Arabidopsis thaliana: one gene and its partners. The protein of the gene in region 1 purifies or fractionates together with the protein of each later gene. This does not show direct contact. Each region holds a gene or a part of one and is shown on either strand. Other genes may lie near its edges. The genes, in order: AT5G44320, AT5G25754, AT1G66070 and AT5G37475.

The links.
Region 2: the proteins of AT5G44320 (region 1) and AT5G25754 fractionate together in Arabidopsis thaliana (co-fractionation; one large-scale study listed by BioGRID). This does not show direct contact.
Region 3: the proteins of AT5G44320 (region 1) and AT1G66070 fractionate together in Arabidopsis thaliana (co-fractionation; one large-scale study listed by BioGRID). This does not show direct contact.
Region 4: the proteins of AT5G44320 (region 1) and AT5G37475 fractionate together in Arabidopsis thaliana (co-fractionation; one large-scale study listed by BioGRID). This does not show direct contact.

The regions. Positions count from the first base shown.
Region 1 is NC_003076.8:17,854,033-17,858,750, forward strand, and holds AT5G44320 (Eukaryotic translation initiation factor 3 subunit 7 (eIF-3)), read right to left. Parts: upstream 2,709-4,718; 5' UTR 2,636-2,708; coding exon 869-2,635; 3' UTR 515-868; downstream 1-514. Other genes in the region: ABCI9 (Stabilizer of iron transporter SufD superfamily protein), read left to right, coding at 1-50, 110-194, 271-489; AT5G44330 (Tetratricopeptide repeat (TPR)-like superfamily protein), read left to right, coding at 3,293-3,484, 3,572-3,784, 3,864-4,012, 4,088-4,156, 4,238-4,718.
Region 2 is NC_003076.8:8,951,383-8,957,844, reverse strand, and holds AT5G25754 (RNA polymerase I-associated factor PAF67), read right to left. Parts: upstream 4,471-6,462; 5' UTR 4,282-4,470; coding exon 3,928-4,281; intron 3,797-3,927; coding exon 2,817-3,796; intron 2,726-2,816; coding exon 2,632-2,725; intron 2,540-2,631; coding exon 2,468-2,539; intron 2,379-2,467; coding exon 2,334-2,378; 3' UTR 506-2,333; downstream 1-505.
Region 3 is NC_003070.9:24,595,279-24,600,605, forward strand, and holds AT1G66070 (Translation initiation factor eIF3 subunit), read right to left. Parts: upstream 3,354-5,327; 5' UTR 3,089-3,353; intron 2,301-3,088; 5' UTR 2,243-2,300; coding exon 2,230-2,242; intron 2,032-2,229; coding exon 1,910-2,031; intron 1,783-1,909; coding exon 1,634-1,782; intron 1,511-1,633; coding exon 1,363-1,510; intron 1,272-1,362; coding exon 1,115-1,271; intron 1,008-1,114; coding exon 916-1,007; 3' UTR 531-915; downstream 1-530. Other genes in the region: AT1G66080 (hikeshi-like protein), read right to left, coding at 5,078-5,327.
Region 4 is NC_003076.8:14,865,513-14,870,709, forward strand, and holds AT5G37475 (Translation initiation factor eIF3 subunit), read right to left. Parts: upstream 3,264-5,197; 5' UTR 3,095-3,263; exon of another isoform or gene 2,295-3,094; 5' UTR 2,238-2,294; coding exon 2,225-2,237; intron 2,005-2,224; coding exon 1,886-2,004; intron 1,792-1,885; coding exon 1,643-1,791; intron 1,491-1,642; coding exon 1,343-1,490; intron 1,222-1,342; coding exon 1,062-1,221; intron 905-1,061; coding exon 816-904; 3' UTR 545-815; downstream 1-544.

The DNA of each region.
Region 1 (4,718 bases):
ACTTGGAAGTATCCAAGCGTGGTTTTAGAAGGAGATGATTCCGTTGGAGAGTTTTAATCCGTATCATTGACTAATAACTACCAGCAAGCTGATACATGGACCAATCCAGAGCTGAGAACGCTAGAAATACTTCGACTTGTGACTCGATGCTTATTGGTGACAATGCAGCCGCTAATACATATCCTTACATACAGGTACTTTGTATATGATCATCTAACCTTTTATTATAAGGTTATGATAAAAGCACCTCTAATGAAGATCTTATAACAGGTAAAGAATCCATCGGCGAGAATAGAGCATGAAGCAAGTACTTCAAAGATTGGAGAAGATCAGATTTTCTATTTTCAACAGAGAGGTATCGATCATGAGAGAGCATTAGCGGCAATGATCTCTGGATTTTGCAGAGATGTTTTCAACAAGTTGCCTAATGAATTTGGAGCCGAAGTTAACCAGCTTTTGAGCATTAAGCTTGAAGGATCAGTGGGTTAAACAAATCTCACAATTACTTAACATTAAAGAAAGCTTTACTTGTGCCCAACAAACTGCTAACAATTTTAGGCTTTCAATAATTAATTTTGGCTTGAGAAAACTGATATATAAACACTTGAGAAAAAGCATATTCTCGATCAGAAAAGAGTCTCACGAATAATCAAAGATGCTACTGTTCTCTAATGCCGGAATATCAATGACCAAGCACCTACCACAGTGATGACCTTTTAAGTTCAAAGAGTTAATTCAAAAACAACCAAGAAAGCATGAACCAACATTTTGGAACATAAATAGTCTATGAAAAAGTGAACAAGCTTTCGAACATTTTTTAAAAGTAACTCAAAACAACACGACTTGAAATATACCCATATCATCAAAATCAGGCTTCAACTTCGGATTTCTTATCCTCTACAGCTACATTAGTAGAGGAAACCCCATTAGTCTCTGCTCCTGCATCAGTGTTCTCCTCAGGTGGCTGAACCTGTTCATCTTCAGGGAGTGGCTCCTCCACATAATCATTGTCAAATGCATCAGCCGGAACTTCGTAAATCCTAACTTGAGGCTTCGATGGATCCTTCACTAGAACATACTTTCCTTCACTTAACTTCATACACAGATCAACAATCGACTTCACAATTCCCCACATATTGTTAGTGTTCAGATTGATCTGCCCAGCGAAATCTTTCGGCTTATACCCCAAAACCGATAATATAACATGGTTAAAATGATCACGAGGATGAACCCTCGAAACAAACCCAATCTTCATCATATCCGCATTAGCCAAGAGAGCCTGCGCAGTCCATTTAGCTAACTTATTACCATTGTTCTTCAACTCATTAGCTAAAACCGCACCTCTCTGAGTCTCAAGCTTCTGTCTCCAATCAACACCAGAGTACTTAGGATCAAACTCGTTAAGAGCATTCAAAGTTAAAAACGATCTCTGGTTATTCAAATCAACAGTGCTCTGTAACTCACACCTAGCAACTAGATACATACTATCATCAAGCTTCCATCTCCTATACCTATAAGCAATAGAAGCATTCTCTTCACCTTCATTAACATTAGGAATTGGCTCATCAAAAGTTTCCCTTTTCCCATTCTTAACCAAAACCTGCTGAGCAAAATTCTGATTAATATAAGCAGCCTCCAGACCTAGAGAATGAGCAGAGTTAATATCATCTTTACCCTCAGGCAAAGGCTCTTGAGAAGTCTCATGAACAGATAACAAATCAAGCGGTGACCCATCTCTCTTATCAAAGAAAAGCTTATTCCCAACACGTTGAATCACAAGATCCCATGAATAAACCGATCTAGGAGCACACATAAGAGCAGCTAGAATAGCATCAGTAGCAAAAACAGTAGCTTTATCTTCTTTAGCAAGACGTCTGATCACAAGATCATCACTTGTAGTAACCTTAAAGCTTCTGTTCTTGAAACGCTCAAGTCTACGATCAGCTTTAGGAGTAATACGATCAAAACTCCGATCATAAGACTCAAGTCCACCACAAAGAAGAAGATCTTCAGGTTCAGAAACTGTAAACGAAAGCTTAGAGAAAGTCGAAAACGGAATCTGCTCAAGCATATTCCATTCCGGTTGAATATCAACTGATGATTTAAACGCGGCGGCTTCACGGCGTTGCTGATGAATATTGTTACGATTGTTATTGTAGAGACGATCACGACGAGCTCGATCTTTCTCAGCTTCACGTTTCTTAGCTTCAACTTCTTCATCACGACGTTGAGGAAGCTGATTTCGGTTATGGTATTGATTGAATCTCCATTTAGGTCCGAATTTAGGACGCGGCGGTGGTTTTCCGTCGACTAATCGGAAAGCGGCGTCTTCGTCGGCGTTTCCACCTGAGTTTGTTAGACCAAATCCTTCATCTACTGCAAAAGCTGAGAAATCGAAGATCGCTGATGGATCTGATTTGGATCCGGTGTGAGGACGAGCTGATGGATTTGAGAGAGCTCGAGTCCAATCAGCAACGCGTCCGAGTTTTTCGGATCGTGAGAAGGAAGCGAAGGGGACGTTTGGGAGGAGATTCGCCGCCGCGACGCTGGTGGAGGAAGTGTCGGAAGCATCTGGTGGTCCCCAACCATCGGAATTGAATGGGACTGTGCCGACTTCGAATGCTTCAAACACCATTGTTGAGATTTGCGAAGAAGATGTGCGCAAGTGAAAAATTTGTATTTTATTTTGTCAACAATGAAAACCCTAGCCCTTAATGGGCCTCAATGGGCTTTTCTCTTGTCATAAGAAACTCTAGCCCTTTTAAGCCCATTATTATCTCACTCAGTCAAAAGGACGTCGGTTTAAGCTAACCAATGCTTTTGGTTTGGGCTATATTCTCTCAATCGAAATTTTGGGTTATATTCAACCGTACATTTATTAAGGAATTAAGAAACCGGCTTAGAACCGGTTCATGATCTGTTAACCAATAACTGAACGTTGCACTTCAATTCAAAAGTTTACGAATTTGTACTCGTCGCAAAACTTATTTTATTTAGATCCTTGTTTTTATATCCATGTCTCACTTCTTTCCCCTAAGTTTTTCATTGGTTACTTAAGGTCCAACTATATAAAGACTTTTTTACTCTCTTCTCTTCTTCAGAGAAAATTCAAAAAGAATCTCCAATTTTCTCGGGAAAATTTCTCCATTAGTCTCTTCTCTTTTCCGGCTTGGAATCGCTTTGCTTCTTAATCTTTAACAAACACGTTCCATAGAACCCCAAAAATTTGATCATCGGAAACATTTTCTCGGGGAAGTAAAGAAGATTTTCCCGAGAAAAGAAGATTCTCACTATGCGGCGTCGTGAGAGCCGTGGTGCTAAGGGAGGAGGTTTCTTGACTCCACCACCGTCATGGCACACGACGAGAAGAGTTTACATTGCGATGCCGATTTCGGAGAGGAAAAGATCACCTTTGATCGAGAATCAAGAATCGTTTAGGGTTCGTACTGGTGATTCTCCTTACGTCAGAGCCAAACATGCTCAGGTAATATCAATATAGGGTTTTTAGTGAATTGTATTGGTTTATGTGTATGAACGTTTGTTCTTGACATGGAATTGTTTTCAATAACAGTTGGTTTCTAAAGACCCGAATCGAGCTATCTCGTTGTTTTGGGCGGCGATTAATGCTGGAGATAGAGTTGATAGTGCATTGAAGGACATGGTAGTTGTTTTAAAACAGTTGAACCGATTCGATGAAGGAATCGAAGCTATCAAGTCTTTTCGATATCTCTGCCCTTTTGAATCTCAAGATTCTATTGATAACTTGTTACTTGAACTCTACATGGTAAAACTTTCTCAGTATGACTAATTGTGAAGCTATTTCTATGCTCAGTATGTGATTTTGATGGATTTTGGTTTTGCAGAAGTCTGGGAGGATTACAGAGGTCGCTGAGCTGCTTGAACACAAACTGAGAACACTTGAACAAGACAAACATTATGGTGGCAGGATCAAAATAGCGAAAAGAAGCCATGAGGAGCAGAATAACAAGACAATCGAGCAAGAGAAAGCACGGCAAGACAATCTCCCATCTCCGCTTTATACCTGAAAGAGTAGTTTCTCTGACTTTCTTGGTGTTTGGATATGTAGGATTCTAGGGAACTTAGCTTGGGTTCACTTACAGCTTCATAACTATGGAATTGCAGAGCAGTATTACAGGTTTGTGAAACACCATCAATCCCATTAAGAATGTTAGTTTTATCATTGCCTTAACAAGTGAAATGGGTTTTACTGTGATAGGAATGCTTTGTCTTTGGAACCTGACAATAACAAGTTGTGCAATCTTGCAATCTGTTTGATACGTATGGAAAGAACCCATGAAGCTAAATCTCTGCTTGAGGATGTAAAACAGTCTCTAGGGAATCAATGGAAGAATGAACCGTTTTGCAAGTCTTTTGAACGGGCTACTGAGATGTTAGCAGAAAGAGAACAAGCAACAGTAGCGGATAAACCAGAAGATTTGCTGACAAGTAGCTTTTCAGATAACTTCTCTTCGAGATGTTCAGGTGGGATGAAAGGAAAGAAGGCTCTAGCTGGAACTAGCACTGAACTGGGTAATATTCACAAGACAAACTCGCATGCTTCCTCTGAATCGGTTGAACAAAACTCACCAGGTCTGACTACACAACCCCGGGAATGTAAATGGGTAGATGAGGAAGTAGATCAGAGTAAATGGGATGCGACAATTGGTGCTTCTCGAAAGCTCAGGTTCTGGACAGTT
Region 2 (6,462 bases), 8.9 Mb from region 1:
TGTTTTGCTCTCACATGTTCACATGTGGATCGAAATATTAGTAAAAAAAAACTAATATGATAAGTATTATTTGACACATCTCATGATCTAAATTAAATTCCATTCCTTTTCATTTCCTTAATTCCACAATATGCAATTATATTTTTGTTTTTTCCCCCTTAATTGCTCTTGTTCTTTCAATTTTTTTTACATATTTTGCTCTAATATGTTCTAATAGCATTTCTGATTTTTTTCCTTCTTTAGAAAACTTTGACATATATAAATAATTAAACAATTATGAAATTGTCAAGCATCTCGAATAAAAATGGGGTAAAAAAACCTTTTCTAAAAGGGAAAAAACCCAAAAAAAATTTTAACTAATTTTTATTTGGACGTTTAATTCCCAATTTTGGGTTGGGAAAAAATAAAGTAATAAAAATGTGCAATTTAATACCCAAATAATTAAATGTTGTTATTTTCGATCCCACAACAAAAATAAAATTCCAATTTTACTTTACCATCTCAATTGATTATTAATCTTTAGATTATATGACATTAGTTTTATAATTTTGGATAAAAATAATTTTATTAACATATTTGTTTATGGTGTCTAGAAATTTAAAATTTTATTTTTATTATAATTATTCTATTTTAAAATTTAACATAAAAATTAATGAAAATCAAAAATATTTTAAATTGGCCGGTAAACAATTTGCGTTCGAATTTAAATCTTTCACGAATCAAACTATTTTTGACAAAATCTCAATCCGAATCTTATCGTCTTTTTCAATATTGACGGTTACTTTTTCACATTTCAAAATCTCAATATTAACGGTCCTTATAGACTTTTACCAAATCCACCATGTCCAATTTCATTGGTTGAGTCTAGAATATTTGAATCTCTTCTGGATTAGTTGCGCTTATTGCTTGTTTCTTTCTGATCAACTCGAACATGAATCATGACATTCCCGCACTCAAAAAGTGTTCGATGGAATGTCGGATCTACTAATTGCAGTGATACTCGTCTATATCCCAAGGCAATTGCCATTTAGAGCGTGTATTGGCTTTAACAAGTTGATTTGATATTGCCTGCTTAGTTAGAGATCGCTAATGGTGATTAGGTCAGTGTCTAGCTTTACTTGAGGATTTCTATCACGGTAGTGAATTAATCTGTTACTGAACTTGTTGTAGGGATAACTTATGTGAAGTTTTATCAACCATCTTAATAGATTAAGGAGATCACGCTATTCGATTACTTCATCCTTAGGAATCTTTTATCCATTTGATTGTCTGTTATCTCATCTGCTTTGTTATTCATCTACTTGCTATTGCCATTTCACATTTTAGTTTCATTTCATTTATGTTAATCGACATTAAGATTATTAGAAACTGACAACTCTCTGCTTGGCTTGACTTAGTAAATTCTGATTATATCTCATCTGTTTGCATCACACCAGATTGGATTGACAACCTTAAGTATTACAACGATATGATAGTGTTTTAGGAATTGATACCCTAAAAACCTATTATCACCAAGCTCGAAGACATCCCCGGGAGACACAAGCGTACGGTTGCTTTGTTGCCGCAACGTTTCAAAAGAAAACAACGTATTCGTATGACTTGAAGGTGAAGCAATCCAGCAGGGGAACCATGTGATAAGAGAGCACATGTGCGGGAGAAATATGCACGTGTGACGAGATGCTAGAAGAAAAAGAATAATATCTGCAATAGATGCAAGTGGGGATTGCTGCTTATATAGATGATCTCATTGTTTAGAGATTCTTTATGCTGATTGATGTAGAAGCTTCTGCGTGAGAATGGTAGATGATGAGCTAACCAAGATGATATGTTAGGCGTCTCCTTTGGTTTGTACATTGATCGGCGATAAGTTAATCAGAGTTTGGTGGCTTGATACTTATCACCATGTATACGTCGAATAGTTTTGGAAGATGATGAAAAAGATTAACTCCTGTGTATTCTGTAATCAGCAAGAACGAAGAACAGACCTGTAGTTACTATGATACATAAAAGTCAAATAGCAATTTATTCTACTTTGACTTTAAAACCATTCTGTTGGCAAGTAGTGGTGACTTAAAATTTTCATAACCTTGAATACTTTCAATGTTTTTGAACTAGCAATTCGAAAGAAACTCGAGATTGGTTATAATCTTCAGTGCCATACTCAATAAAAAAAACTAGCAATAATCCATAAGAAAGATGATTTATGGTTATCATTTGACCACATGAAGACAGCTACTCAAAAAAGTGTTTGGCTTTAAGTAAACATATGGTTTATAAGAGAAAGCATCATATCAGATTGGGCATTGATGATTAGGTATAACACAGAAAAGTCGTCATTCCAGCTTGACACGATCCATGTCGTTGATCACACCTTCAAGCTGCGCAATGGAGGAAAAAAAGAAAAAGACCCAAAAATCAAAACAAGAGTTGATGTGCACGAGTCTTAGTTTCAGTTTATACAACATACCTTGGCAATCTGCCGCAAGAAGAAATCACCATAACGTTTTGCGGGTTTTGATTCGACAACGTAGATCATGTCCTGCAGTGTCACCAGGTTTAGAGTTGTTACAAACGTTGTAAAAGCACCAGAGTATCGATATCAGAAAGACAGAGAGAGAAGAAAGAACATACGTTGTTGATGAAGAAATCAATGTCTGCATTGGAGATGATCCTACCATCGGAATCAACTGAATGGGTCTTGTGCTTGTATGTTAACAATATGGTCCTGCAAATTAAAACCCCGTACATGTCAAAGAAAAAGAGAGAAGTAGATTTGGTAATAATAGTTATAAGAATGCCCATAGTTAGTCCCTGACCTTAGAGTGGGCTCATCAACTTCCATGTAGTTTGCGAGCTTAGCAAGAGAAATGGAGGAGTAGACTTTCAGGAAAGTCCGCACTCCCGACAAGAGCTGCTGCTGCTTTACCTCGTAAAGGAACATCTTCAGCTGAAGCCTGTATGCATCCTGATTGTAATTGACAAGAGGTTCCTCGAAAGTTGGTGGTGCGGAAGGGGTGATAAACTTGGGGCATGCGTAAGAGAAGAGCTCATCATAAATACCAAAGGCCTCGTCGTCAGACCTCAGCATCCTCATCATCTTTTCACCATACTTGTCTCGCAGCTGAGAGTTGACAGACTCGTCAACGAGTTTAGTTTGAGGGCAGAGGGAGAGGGAGAGAGCAAGCAAAGCGTACATCTGCTCATTCTTCTTGAGTAATTGCTCGTACTGAGGTGACTTTTGATGGTACTGCTTAGTCTTGAAAATGTAGAGGAGAATCTTGTTGAACTCACGAACAGCATCGACATACCTCCGCAACATAAGGGTGGCAAATCCATAGTGGTAGATAGTAGCGATATGGCAACCAATGACACTGGTGTAAACACCTGGCTGAGTGATGTCAATGGGCTGCAACCATTTGAGAGCAGTGTGGTAGTCACCGAGGAGGCAGTGAACACGCAAGAGACCGACCATGCTGAAGTAACCGAGGACCTTCAAGACGTTGCTGCCACCGCTGAAATCGTAGCCATCAGTCTCAGTGAACTCAAGGCCATCCTTGTCATGCTCAAGGATCTGGATGATACAAGACTTCTCCACAAGTGCTTGCAAGAAGTTGAGCACGCCATAGACATTCCAGGCCTTATCGTGCTGTCTGAGCAATGCAATCTCCTCCTCTGTTTTGTTCTTGAGCTTTGCTCTGAATTGACAGAAACTTTGGAACTGGTAGACAAACTCATCCACCATATCCCACAACCACTGGTTCGGCAACTGCATATTCACTACGCCGTGCAACACAACCTAGAAAGAACAAACGGAAGAAGGTCTACTTACTTGTATTTATTCCCAGCCAATACATACACAAAAGAAATCAAAATCAACAACATCTCTATCTAACAAGGAAGAAGAAGTAGAAGAATTCCACAACAGACCTGAAAGAGGCTGCAATAGTTGTCATAAGAATCAATCCTCTGCTTCAACGTCGGAGACAACCTCGCATACAAATGTCGAAACCACATCTCACGGTACAGAAGACAGAACACATGGTCGTTGTCTACGTAAGGAGCAATCGCTTCCACACTTGGCCACGGCGTGTCCTTGAACAGACGCTCCGATATGCTCTGGAACGATGTCTCACACATCTGGTGGATCTCGTACACGTTCTTGTCCCTTATGTGTCTGTACATGTGTGACACGAACGATTTCACCGAATCCGGCACCATATTCGGGTCGTACCCACTCTCCCTCTCCCCTGGACCTTCCTCGTACTCATTGCTGCTCGCCATTCTCGCCGGATCAATTCTTAGCGGCCGCAACAATGTTAACTCTTCAACTCACTTCCACCGCCTAGGGTTTCCTTATTACCACCGGGTCTATCCTCCGGTTTGCTTTTACTACTAAATGAACGATTACCACCGGTTTGTTTATATCTCGATTTATTTTTCGGTTGTTTATCTATTTTACCGAATTAGACCAAAACTGAATCGAAATTAATTTTGTGTACTCTGACTCTCTCTCAAATCTCAATGTCTCAGCTTCTTCACCTTCACCGTCTCTCTCTTCCACAATCATCTCTTCGTTTCAGATTCCCGCCTTTACATCGCCGACGTGCAGCTTCGTCGCCAACTAACTCAACTCAACCCCCCCTGCAGTTTCGTCCTCTCACAGTCTCTAGATCTCAAATAACTTGCAGATTCAGCCAATCCGGTGAGACTTATCGTTTTTTCTTTCTTTTTTTCGATCTAATGAAACATTCCAAGTGATTGTATTAGATTCTTAGCAACATCTTCTTCATCTTCAACGAAATCATTGTAAGTTTTGCAGATATTACGCCACAATTTGAATTGGATAAAGCAAAAGACAATCGAAAACCACAAAAGCGAGCAAATGGCATATTTTGGATCATACTTATCAATCTGGGCATATATCTTGCTGATCACTTCTTTCAGGTATGAAAGCTTGTCTTTAGATATCAATCATCTACACTGTAAAACGTTATTCGTGTAATCCCATCTCTTTGGATTGTGACGTGCTTATCTTATCATACGTTTTATATTGTTTATTCGATTTAGGTTCGTGGGATCAAATCTTTGTATTTGTATCACAATTTTCCGGCATGGTATCAGTTTGTGACGGCTACATTCTGTCATGCTAACTGGTGAGAGAGCTCTCTTCTTTCTTTTTTACTTTGGCACTGTTCGTTTCATAATCGCTAGCGGCTGTGGCTGTGGCTGCGATTGCGATTGCGATTTTAAAATCGCAGGATGTTGTTCGTTTACCAATCGCTGCGATTAATCGCCATTTAAAAAGCCGCGTCGCTCTTTTTTCATGCGATCAAAAAATTCAGTCGCAAGCCGCAGCGATTGATCGCGCGATTAGTTGCAGGATCTTGCGACTGTCAAACGATCAACTTTCAGTCGCAGTCGCAGGCATCCTGTGACTACCAAACGAACAACACTTATGATAGTTTTTTTCTCTGTGGCTTATGTTGATGTTTCTCCTGATTCTTGGTTTTTTTTTTATGTATCATGTATGATTCTAGGAACCATCTCTCCAGCAATCTTTTTTTCTTGTACATATTTGGTGAGAGTTCAAGATTTTCTCATAGTTTGAATTTCTAGCTAGTTTATCGATTCAGAGAGCTAATGGACACATTTGGGAATCAGGAAAGCTTGTTGAAGAAGAAGAAGGAAACTTTGGTTTGTGGCTCTCCTACTTGTTCACTGGTGTTGGAGCTAACCTTGTTTCTTGGTTAGTTTTACCGAGAAATGCTGTTTCTGTTGGTGCCTCGGGAGCTGTTTTTGGGTTATTTGCTATCAGTGTCCTCGTCAAGGTACTGTAGTTTTCTTCTCTCCTTGTAAATCAAACTCCTCAGTAATATCTTGCTAATATTCAACTTCTTTTGATTGTCTAGATGTCTTGGGATTGGAGGAAAATCCTTGAAGTTCTTATATTGGGTCAGTTCGTTATTGAGAGGGTAAGATTTTCTCAAAATTTACTCACAGCATCACTACCGTTATAACCGTATTCCGGCTTACAGTCCCATCTTCTTATGAGTATAATGAGGTTTTTATACAATATATGAGAGAAAATGTCTGATGATGTATGCAATATAGAAGCTCTTCGAATTCAGGGACGATAACTGTTTAGTTAATTGATCTGAATAGGTAATGGAAGCAGCTCAGGCGTCGGCTGGATTATCAGGAACTATATATGGTGGATACTCTTTACAAACTGTTAATCACATTGCGCATCTCTCTGGTGCTCTTGTTGGGGTTGTTTTAGTTTGGCTTCTCAGCAAATTTCCTTCGGCATCTATGGATCAAGACGTTAAAAAGTCCTCGTAAAAATGACGAGACAAAACTTTTCGTGTAAGGAACATACTAGCTGTCCAGTGAATGCAAGGTAGATGAAACGATTGATAGATTGACAAAATATCCTTGTAAAAAAACTGAAGAACGGTCTCT
Region 3 (5,327 bases), on another chromosome or scaffold:
GATAATGATAGGATAGGATATTTTTCTGCTTTTTTTTGTTTTTAGTTGGATATTTTTCTTCACCATTACTGGAAATCATTAAATGAATCTTCTTGAAGTTTTAAAAGATTCTTATAAAAAGAATATCTTAGAGAGTAGATATTGTAACATATTTAAGAGTCTACATTACAGAGAATTATATCAATCAATTCATATGATTACTTTCTTTAATCAATCCCACTAATCTTTCTCCTAAAAGAGAATGTGGAAGAGGCTGAAGTTGTTGACACAATGTCTTCCGGAGGAAACAACACAGAGTCCGAAGAAGAAGAAGAAGCAACTCAACCACCAATTAAGAAGATTAAACAATACAGTCACTGTGTTGTTGTTGGAAATTAACTAGTAAGGAATTAGAGTTCCTTAGTTAAAAACTCATCATCATCCTCCCATGAATTCTTTATGTCATTCCCATTCACATCTTTATGTTATTAGCTAATGTAAAGTCATGATGATATTAGCGTGTTTCAAGGTTTACTACTAACATTAGCGAATTGTAACGAATCAACATTTTCTCTCTTACTCAAGAGGCAGTATTTAAAGATTGGACAACATGAAACGCACTCATGTCTATAAGAAATTCAACCCCCAAAGAGATTTAATCAGATCAATGTCAATAATAAATTTATACGGACACTTTAAGTATAGCTTTTTCAACCAACAAATAGAACCAAAAACATGACTCTAGAGAATTCCCAGACCAAACCAAAACAAAAGCTTCCCATGTTCCAACTATATATTTCCGCAACCAGAAATTTGGCTCTTCTTGCTCTATTCAAACCAAAATTAAGAAAAATGTGTTTCTTTTGAGTGATAGATAAATGATAAAATAGACGCTGGACAAATCCAATTTGCATTTGCTCAAAAAGCTCTTTTAATCTACATGAAGTCGAAGTCATCCATGGCATCATAAGGACCAGCCACTAGATCGTCATTGGCCTTATCTACAATAAGTTGTTTCTTCTTTCCACCTGATCAAGCAATGCCAATGGTCATGAAAAACGGATTCAGAATAACACATTCATAAAACTATAAACCAAAGATGAAGTGATTGTGAGTAACACATTCAGAATAATACCTTTCTTTTTTCCCGCAGCAGCTTCTTTCTCTGCCTTTAGTTTTTCATTTGCTATCGTTGTAATGGACGAAGCAACATCTTTAACATCAGCTGCTTTCATGTTGGTCAATGAAAGTCTCATGATTGTTTTGAGCAGCGCTATATAGTGATAACTTTTCTGCAACAGAAACCAAACTATATTTTCACACATCATGAGCTTCAATACTAGCCAATGAGAATAAAGGTATATAAGGCAGAATACAACATACCTCATATGGTTTAATCCTATGAGAAATCATTTCAGCATATTCCAAAAAATCGCTTTCAGACTTGGGGATAAACATATCAAGGTTTTTGTCATCATCCTTCACTCCAAAGAGCTCAGCAGTTGCCCGGTAGTCGGCTTCCTCAACAAGCCTGTGATAGAAAGAATATAACATATAAGGTCACATAGACCTTCACAGCCTTCTTCCATACACAAAGTACAAAAGATTAAAGTGAATTATTATGTGTGGGAAAGATATTATTTACAAACTGTACCTCTGCTGGCGAAGTTTCTCCGCTATAGGATCTAGAGGTTTTTCTTTTGGTGCTTCCTTTGGAACTTCGACTGCTTTACCCTTCTTTTCAACAGTTTTGGGGGCTGCTTTCTTAGGAGCCTTCTCCGGAGCAGGATTTATAACAGGCGGCTACAGAAAAACAACAAGGCAAAGCAGACAAAACATAAATATTCCCGTTGGAATCTCAAACCAAATTATACGTAGTAGCCACTAGCCAATAGGGAAAGAATTACAGAGAGTAAAAACTAAGCTATACCTGAGCAGGTTCATCATCATCATCCTCCCATGAATCCTTAATTTCATTCTCATCCACATCTTCATCATCCCAGTTACTTTTAAGCTCAACTTTTGCTGGAAGTGGTGCAATTTTCTCGTCCTCTGGAATCAGAAAATAAAAATTATAAGACTACTCACATGCTAGTGATACGATTTTGAAATATCAAATATGAAACCCATCAGATTAGCAAATAATCCAAAATTGCTTGCATATCCAATCAAATACTATAAATAAATAAGAAGACTATAATTAGATACAAATAGAGAATATAAGAGAGGACACTTAAAGCATAGTCTTACCCCAGTCATCCATATTTGCTGCAAATTATCAGGTACAGATATAAGCTTCTATCTGAGTCCAACTGGTAAACCTGCCAAACATACGCGTAAGCATCAGAAACACGCTTATTTGATCAAACTACATTACTGATCAATCATTCAATCCACATAATCAAATACACTGATCCCCATGTGTAAATATGCTTAAACTACTTGTAGTAAGCTTGCTAACTTCACATCATAGACAGAGAATACTGATACTATTACTTTACAAATCAAGGTTTCACAGCTAACAAAAACACATAGGCCTAATATTTCACACCCAGGAAAAACAGCTAAATCTAATGCTTACAAAAGACAAGATATCTTATATCAATTAAAACTATTACAGGCATGTCAGCTATCTAAACCTGAACACAAGTTCCATGAACTCTTAGAGAGATACCAAACAAAAACAGTCCCCAAAACACAAGAATCTTAAACACATAACTAATAATTTCCTTCTGATTTTGGTAATCCAATCCTATGGATTTGCAACATCGATATGAATTCCTCAATCGAAATCAATCAAAATGGTTAAAACCTTAAGAAGTCCTTGTTTCAATAAAAAAAGGATTCAACTTGAACATCATCATGCAAACAAAGAGCAGAGAAAAAGTAACGAATTGGTCATAGTAATCTACACTACACACAGAGAAGTTTTGATGATAAAGTTTGAATCATTAACCATGAATTCGAGAACCCAACATTAAGAAATCAAATCAAATCAAAATCATAATTTGGAGCAATTCTATAGAAACCCACCAGAGAATCAATCGAAAATTAAGATCTAGAAGCGAATTTAACTGAGAAAGGAAAACCCTTTGATAAGAAAACATACCGAGGAAAGTCTGAATCCAAAAGGGTTTTTCGCAGAGGAAGAGAAATCGCAAGAAAATTGAAGCGTTTTCGTTGGATTAGAAATCTCCGATGTGGTGGTTTTTGCTTCAGAGGTTAAAAAGAGATTTAGGGCTTTTGTGTGTTTCCTTTTGTTTTTCGTTAGATTTTATGCCTTTTTATAAAGCCTTTCCACCGTGGCCCCAACATGTCGAACCGATCAAAGTATAGACCAAAGTTGTTTGGTCAATTTCGGTTAGACTGATACGGTCGAACCGATCACCGTGGCCCCAACATGTAACTTTTTCCATCTTACACTCTCCATTTTTTTATTCCGTTTTTAATCATTTTTTTTTGGAGTTTTTGCACAATGATTTGAATTTGCTGACCAAGTATTAAGTACTTTTTGCAAATGAGGGTTGAAGGGTATTCTCACATGTGTGCAATCGATTGTAGAAAATACTTATGTATTCGAGATTGAAGTTTAAGTTAAAGGCTTTGATTTTGATTCATCGTATGTATCAGACAACTAGAGTTGTCCATCCAAGTCAGATTATCCCGAATATTTGTAAGCTTCTTGACTCTACAAATTGTTTAGGTCCATTGAATATTGAAGCCGTTGGTAAGCCAATCTAGAACCATATCAAACAACAACTTCAATCGATTAGATCAATGTATTAACGATCTACTGTGATATAGTGGACAAGAATCAAGATTCAAGATTCAAGATTCATTCCTCACACACAAGCTGAGTTAAATCATCACCTTTCATCCACCTCTAAGCAACAAAAATAAAGTTCATCACTTTAAATTACTTAAGAGCTACATTTGAGCTTATGACCATGACCAAATCTGAAACAGTATCCACTCAATGTATATGTGATTCATATTTTGCAACTACTCATATAGTTCTCACAAAATATTGAATTAACCGTTGAAAACAAATATAGAACATAAGATTAAATTATAATAAACTACAATCTCTTCTTCCATTTATCATATAGAACCTAAGATCAAACGGGTAAAACCACACAGTACACACTGTAAGAAACTGAAGCTTCTCAAAAACTAGGAATCAAGATTCATTCCTCAACACAAGATGGATTAAATCTTCACTTTTCATCTACCTCGATTCAACAAGATATAAAGCTCAACACTTTATATTGCTAAGATCAAAGGTTGATTGAGCCTATGAACATGACCAGAATCTGAAACAGCATCCACTTACCAAAACTATGATTTATAATGTGAGTTAGAACACTGAAACTGTTAAACTATCCTCTGACCAAATACTGAATCATATATTACTAGACCAAAAAATGTCAAACCTTCCTCTGTTGAATTGCACTAAATTAACCGAAGAAAAAAATATGAACATGGAAAGCAATTATGCATATCTCTCACATTTTCTCATTGGCAAACTAAGTAAACTAAAATGTTGTCTTAGATTCATCATAAAAACATGAACAGATTTAATCTTAACCCTTTCATCTACCTCAATCCTCAAAACAACAAGAGAAAGTTCATCACTTTAAATTTCTAACAGCAGAGTATAAACTTATGAACAATAGATACGAAACAGTATCCACCATTCCACCTACTAAAACTGTGATTCATATGTAAGCAAGAAGAACACTGAAACCAAAATATTCATAACCCTCATATTATCTCACTAGCAAACTAAGTAAAACTACAATCTCTCCTCCAATTCATCATATATAACCCAAGATCAAATGGATTCAACCACACAGTATACCAAAGTGAGCTAATCAAAAACTAAGAATCAAAATTCATTCCTCAACACAAGACAGATTAAATCTTCACCTTTTCATCTACCTCAAACCAACAAGATATAAAGTTCAACACTTTAAATTGCTTAAAAGCAGAGTATGATCAACTAGTTAATAAACATTGACAAACAAAGTAAAACTACAATCTCTTGTTCAATTCATCACATAGAACCACAAGATCAAATGTTACAAAAACGCTAACCTTACAAAGCAAAGCTTTTGAGGAAATCAGGATCACGTTTAGCTTTCTCCTGAAACTTCTTAAACCAACGATCCAAAATATCCATAGGAACAACCAATTTACTTCCATCAACACCACAAAAAGACTGCATAAAGTTAAACAAATTCTCTCCAACTTTCATAGCCAATTTCTCAATCCTCCTCTCCGCAACAACATCCAACGACCTCAACGCTGCTACATCCTCCACCGAAACACCGATCTTCGCCGATAAG
Region 4 (5,197 bases), 3.0 Mb from region 1:
ATTATATGTAAAATTGTTAGGTAGTTAATATTAAATAGTTGACGAAAAAAATAGTTACATCAAATATTTTTAAATTAAAATATATTATTTTGATCGACAAAAAATATAATAAAAAGCTGATTTTGTTTTAAATATAAATGTTTTAAAATTATTAGTAAATTTTAGTAAGGATATATTTGTAATTTTATATTCCTTTCTTATTTTAGAAAATAGTTTTTAAAGAGAAAAAATGGGTAGGTTATTTTTCAAACAAAAACTTTTCTAACTTTTCTAACTTTTCTAAATTTTCAAACAATAACTATGAATCTCTCTATTTCTTATCTGTATCGATAGTTTGTTACAACTGAGAACCAATTTAGGGCATCACTAGATTCATCAATTCTCTCCCATGACACATGCATCACTTTACGCCAAAGACTTGATCAAGCTACTCCCCGAAGATTCTCCAGTTCATTTGATTCTCTACGTATTGATTACTCTTCACACTACATGTTTAGGTCTTCTTCGAGTGTATATCTCTTGTAATGTGTTAGATTTGCTGGTTCATTATCGAAAACTTATCTTACTAATGTGGCTTCAAATTCTAAGTGAATCATAGGCCGTGCTCTTAGTACTCGTTCAATTCATATAATAGGAAATAGTGTGCCCACAACAAATCTTATTACACAAATTTTTAAATCAAACCGAGCAAAGAAAACAGAAGAAAAACACTTTTGCAATTCAGTATACAAAACAAAAAACCGCCGACGATTTAAACCTCTTCTCAGTTACAATCCTATAGGAGGTAAAATGCAATCTCCAAAATTGCCATTTTCTCACATGAAATCATCATCGTCCATGGCATCATAAGGACCCGAAACAAGATCATCATCAGGCTTATCAACATGAAGTTGTTTCTTCTTACCTAGTAAACACAGTGAAACGAAAGAAAGAAAGAAAAAAACATTTTAATCTGATCATTTTGGAAACAGAGACATGCTTGCTTAGCTTAAAAACATATAATTCACAAGTCTTATCAAATCCAAAGAATAAAACAAAATTCAAAGACTGATTGTGTGTACCTGACTTCTTTTTGCCAGCAGCAGCTTCTTTCTCCGCCTTCAATTTTTCATTTGCTATAGCTGTAATGGACGAAGCAACGTCTTTAACATCTGCTGCTTTCATATTAGCCACAGAAAGTCTCATCACTGCTTTGAGTAGCCCGATATAGTGAAAGCTTTTCTGCGAAATAGTAGACATAGTTAAAATGCAGACGAATTGGTCTTAATATGATATTTGGTCATATAGAAATAAGTGACAGTTAGCTAAGACAAGAAAGTAACAGGAAATGAAAATAGCATACCTCAAATGGTACAAGTCTCTGAGATATCAACTCAGCATAATCCAAGAAATCGCTTTCAGACTTCGGAATTAACATATCGACGCTTTTCTCTTCAGTCTTTACTCCAAAGAGTTCAGCAGTTGATTGGTAATCAGCTTCCTCTACAAGCCTAAGATAAGAAGAATATTAAAAATTAGCACAATGGCCTTCCTCAGTGACATGCTTCTTACACTACTAGAAAACATTTTTCATCCCATTCAACCAAACCAATGCAGAACCAACAGTAGAAGCATATGTAAGTGAACTATTATTACACTCTACCTCTGCATGCGAAGTTTCTCAGCAATAGGATCTAGAGGTTCTTCCCTTGATGTTCCTTTCGGAGCTTCAACAGTTTTAACCTTCTTTTCAACAGCTTTTACTGCTGGTTTCTTTGGAGCCTTCTCAGAAGCAGGCTTTACTATAGGTGGCTACAGGAGAAACAAAGATTGTTAGCCGCAATCTCAAAAACAAATAACAAACAAAACCCAATGACTAAAAGTATATAATGAAAGAAAAATATACCGGAGCAGATACATCTTCCTCCTCCCACGAGTCCTTGATATCATTCTCATCCACATCCTCATCATCCCAGTTACTTTTCAGTTCAACTTTTGAGGGAAGTGGTTGAAAGTCCTCGGCCTCTGAAATCAGAAAGGAAAACCTAAAAGTGAGAATTCTAATATATTTCCCATATGAAAACTTCAATAAAACAACAATAAAGCCTATCATCTTAGAGAACATAGTAAAATATATATAGCTGTATACAGCCTGTACTACTTTTTACATATTCAAAGAGATTAATGCAACACCTAGAGAACAAGAAAGTATTGTGTATTGAACAATTCTTAATGTAAGTCTTACCCCAATCATCCATATGTGTCGCCGATTATCTAGAAGAAGTACAAGCTGCTATCTGAATCCAACTGAAAACCTGCACAAGGCACAAGCAGCCACATAACATCAGAAAGAACAAAGATCAGAACAAAGATCAGAACAAAGGCTCTCACTGGTGATGCTTAAATGTAAATCATACATTAGTTAGTTATATATCCTGGAGGTAAAATGCAACAAAACTCCTATGAAAAATCGAATATGATATTTTCAATATAGTGATATTCATGATTTTAAGTAGTTAGTCATCTGGTCTGACCAAGCAACAAAAACGTGTGTAACAACTCACAGTAAACTTGCAAATACCAGGAATTCATAACAGCCCAAGACAATGATACAATTACTCTTAGGATCAAGGCTTCACAGCTTAAGAACATAAAACAATCTACTATAGAAAGACTTTCTGATCCTACTAGTACTTCACATGCAAATAGAACTACTAAAATAAGAGCATAGAGCCTGATTACAAGTTAATTCTCAAGCAAGCCAGCAAACACAAGTTTGTTCGTTCCAAAACTTAGGTTATGAACACCGAGTTTGCGACCTGATTCATGAAAGGATTCAGCTTTTAAACATCATCAATCATACAAAAGAATATAGCAAAACAGAGTTTGATTGATCATTAGTGTAATCTAAACCCAATTAGTGACAAATTACACAACTTTTAAGGAGGAACCTACAACCCAATTACCAATAAAAACCCATCAAGCACCACAAATCCTAAATCTAACCTTACACAAAATCAGTACTGATAAATATTGGCATGCCCAGCTCGGATTCAATTCGATGAATTCAACAGTCAAGTGAAATTGAAGCGAATGGAGACGGAAGAAACAGTACCTGAGAAAGGCTGAATCCTGAAGGTAGGTTTCAGCCGGAGAATAGAAATCGCCACCACAAAAAACGAAAAAGATGTAGCTTTCCGATGTGAAGCAGACGAAACGACAACGAAGATGGATTTTAGGTTTTTCTCTTCTCTTTCTATAATATTCGCATTTAAGTGGAATTATTTATATTTTTTAAAAATACTTATTTCCCTTCTTCTTTTTTTGATCACCTAATTTGAATTGGCTTAAACTTTTTAAAATTACCTATATTTAGGTATTTTATTTTCTCTTTTGTTTTGTCAGTGTTATATTCTTAACAAAATAAATAAAAGAACAATTGTTAAAAAAAAAACATAAAAGAACAATTGTTTAAATATAATTCATAACTAAGATTAATAAACATTTTGGACCAAAATAAAAAAAAATAATAAGAATTTATTTTTAACGAAATTAAAAATTTAGATTAATTAAGAAAAATAATTTTAAAATGATATAAATTTTTAACTATCATCAGATGTATTTCATAAATATTATTAGTAAAACGATTTTCATAAGACTTCCAATTTTGATATAATACAAAGACTTGAACAAAAACAAAAAAACCTAAAAAGCTAAACCACAAAAAAAAAATTGAAAACTTAGTTTTTATTAGAAGGAAAATATCACTCGATAACATTTTTTTTACCCCCTATATTATCAGTTTAGTCAATTATAGATTGTAGCGAGATATTATTGCACACGGTAGGAGAAGATTTTATGTTGATATTGTTTTGGGAGTTGTATTTTTTTTTATGTTTTTTTTTCTTCCCCACCTAACGATCAGTCATATTTTTCGATCCTATATGAAGAAGAAAGGTTATCGCGATACTAATGTTATCAGAACGTGTTCCTAGTTTTGATTCTTGTTGTAAAACACAAATGGACAACATGTGGCATCGTCGTTATCGCGATACTAATGTTATCAGAACGTGTTCCTAGTTTTGATTCTTGTTCTAAAACACAAATAGACAACATGTGGCATTGTCGTTATTATTTTAATTATCTGCTAGTTGTTATATCGACTAACATTATTACCATTTAAACTCGTAGTCTATTGTTTGTAAAAAGAAATTAAAAAGTTAACTAAAATGATATAGTCTTTAGCGGCCAAAACGAGATTATCCTGATACTGATGTTAGCGGTTAGAAGCTTATCGCGATACGGGTTGTTATCAGGAAGTGTTTATTAGTTTTGATTCTTTTTGTAAAACACAAGGAGACAACCTGTGGCATCGTCGTTATTATTTTTCTTATCTGATAGAAGTTAAATCGACTAACATTGTTACCATTTAAACTCGTAGGCTATTGTTTGAGGATTATTTTTAAAAGGCTACAAACAAATATGCTCGTGTTTAGCGAATAAGAGGTTTTCATGATTCTGTTATTATTAGAACGTGTTACTAGCTTTGATTCTTGTTGTAAAACACAAAGGGACAACATGTGGCATCGTAGTTATTATCTTAATTATCTGCTAGTAGTTATATCGACTAACATTGTTACCATTTAAACTCGTAGTCTATTGATTGTGGACTTTCTTTATAAAGTTAACGGAAATATCATTATGTTTAGCAGATACGAGATTATCGCGATACTATTTGTTATCAGAACGTTGCTTATAGTCAGCGAGACCACATAGGTTCTATTTAAACTCGCAGTTTATTGTTTGAGGATTATTTCTAAAAGCCAACGGAAACTAGTATCGTATATATTCGACATACCTACAACCCTATACATATCAATAATGATTTACAATATCTTTATGTTTTTAATGCCAGTGGGAGATATCTTCTAAGATATCTTTAGCATGTTGAAACTATGCTATAAACTATATTTTGGTTTTATAGGAGCTTTTTTGTCAGAAATTATGTTGGGGAAGACAGAGGATTAATAACTCAGTTTTCATACATAGATACTTAATATTCTGATCATCTGAGCATAGATATTAATATAGCCCTTATTAGAATACTCTTTTCAATCTCAATGTCATAGACACTTTTAATAAATCAACAAAATTTATTTGAATTCTATATAGAATAGCTTATATTGCATTACAATGAATCAATGATATTTTCTTTATT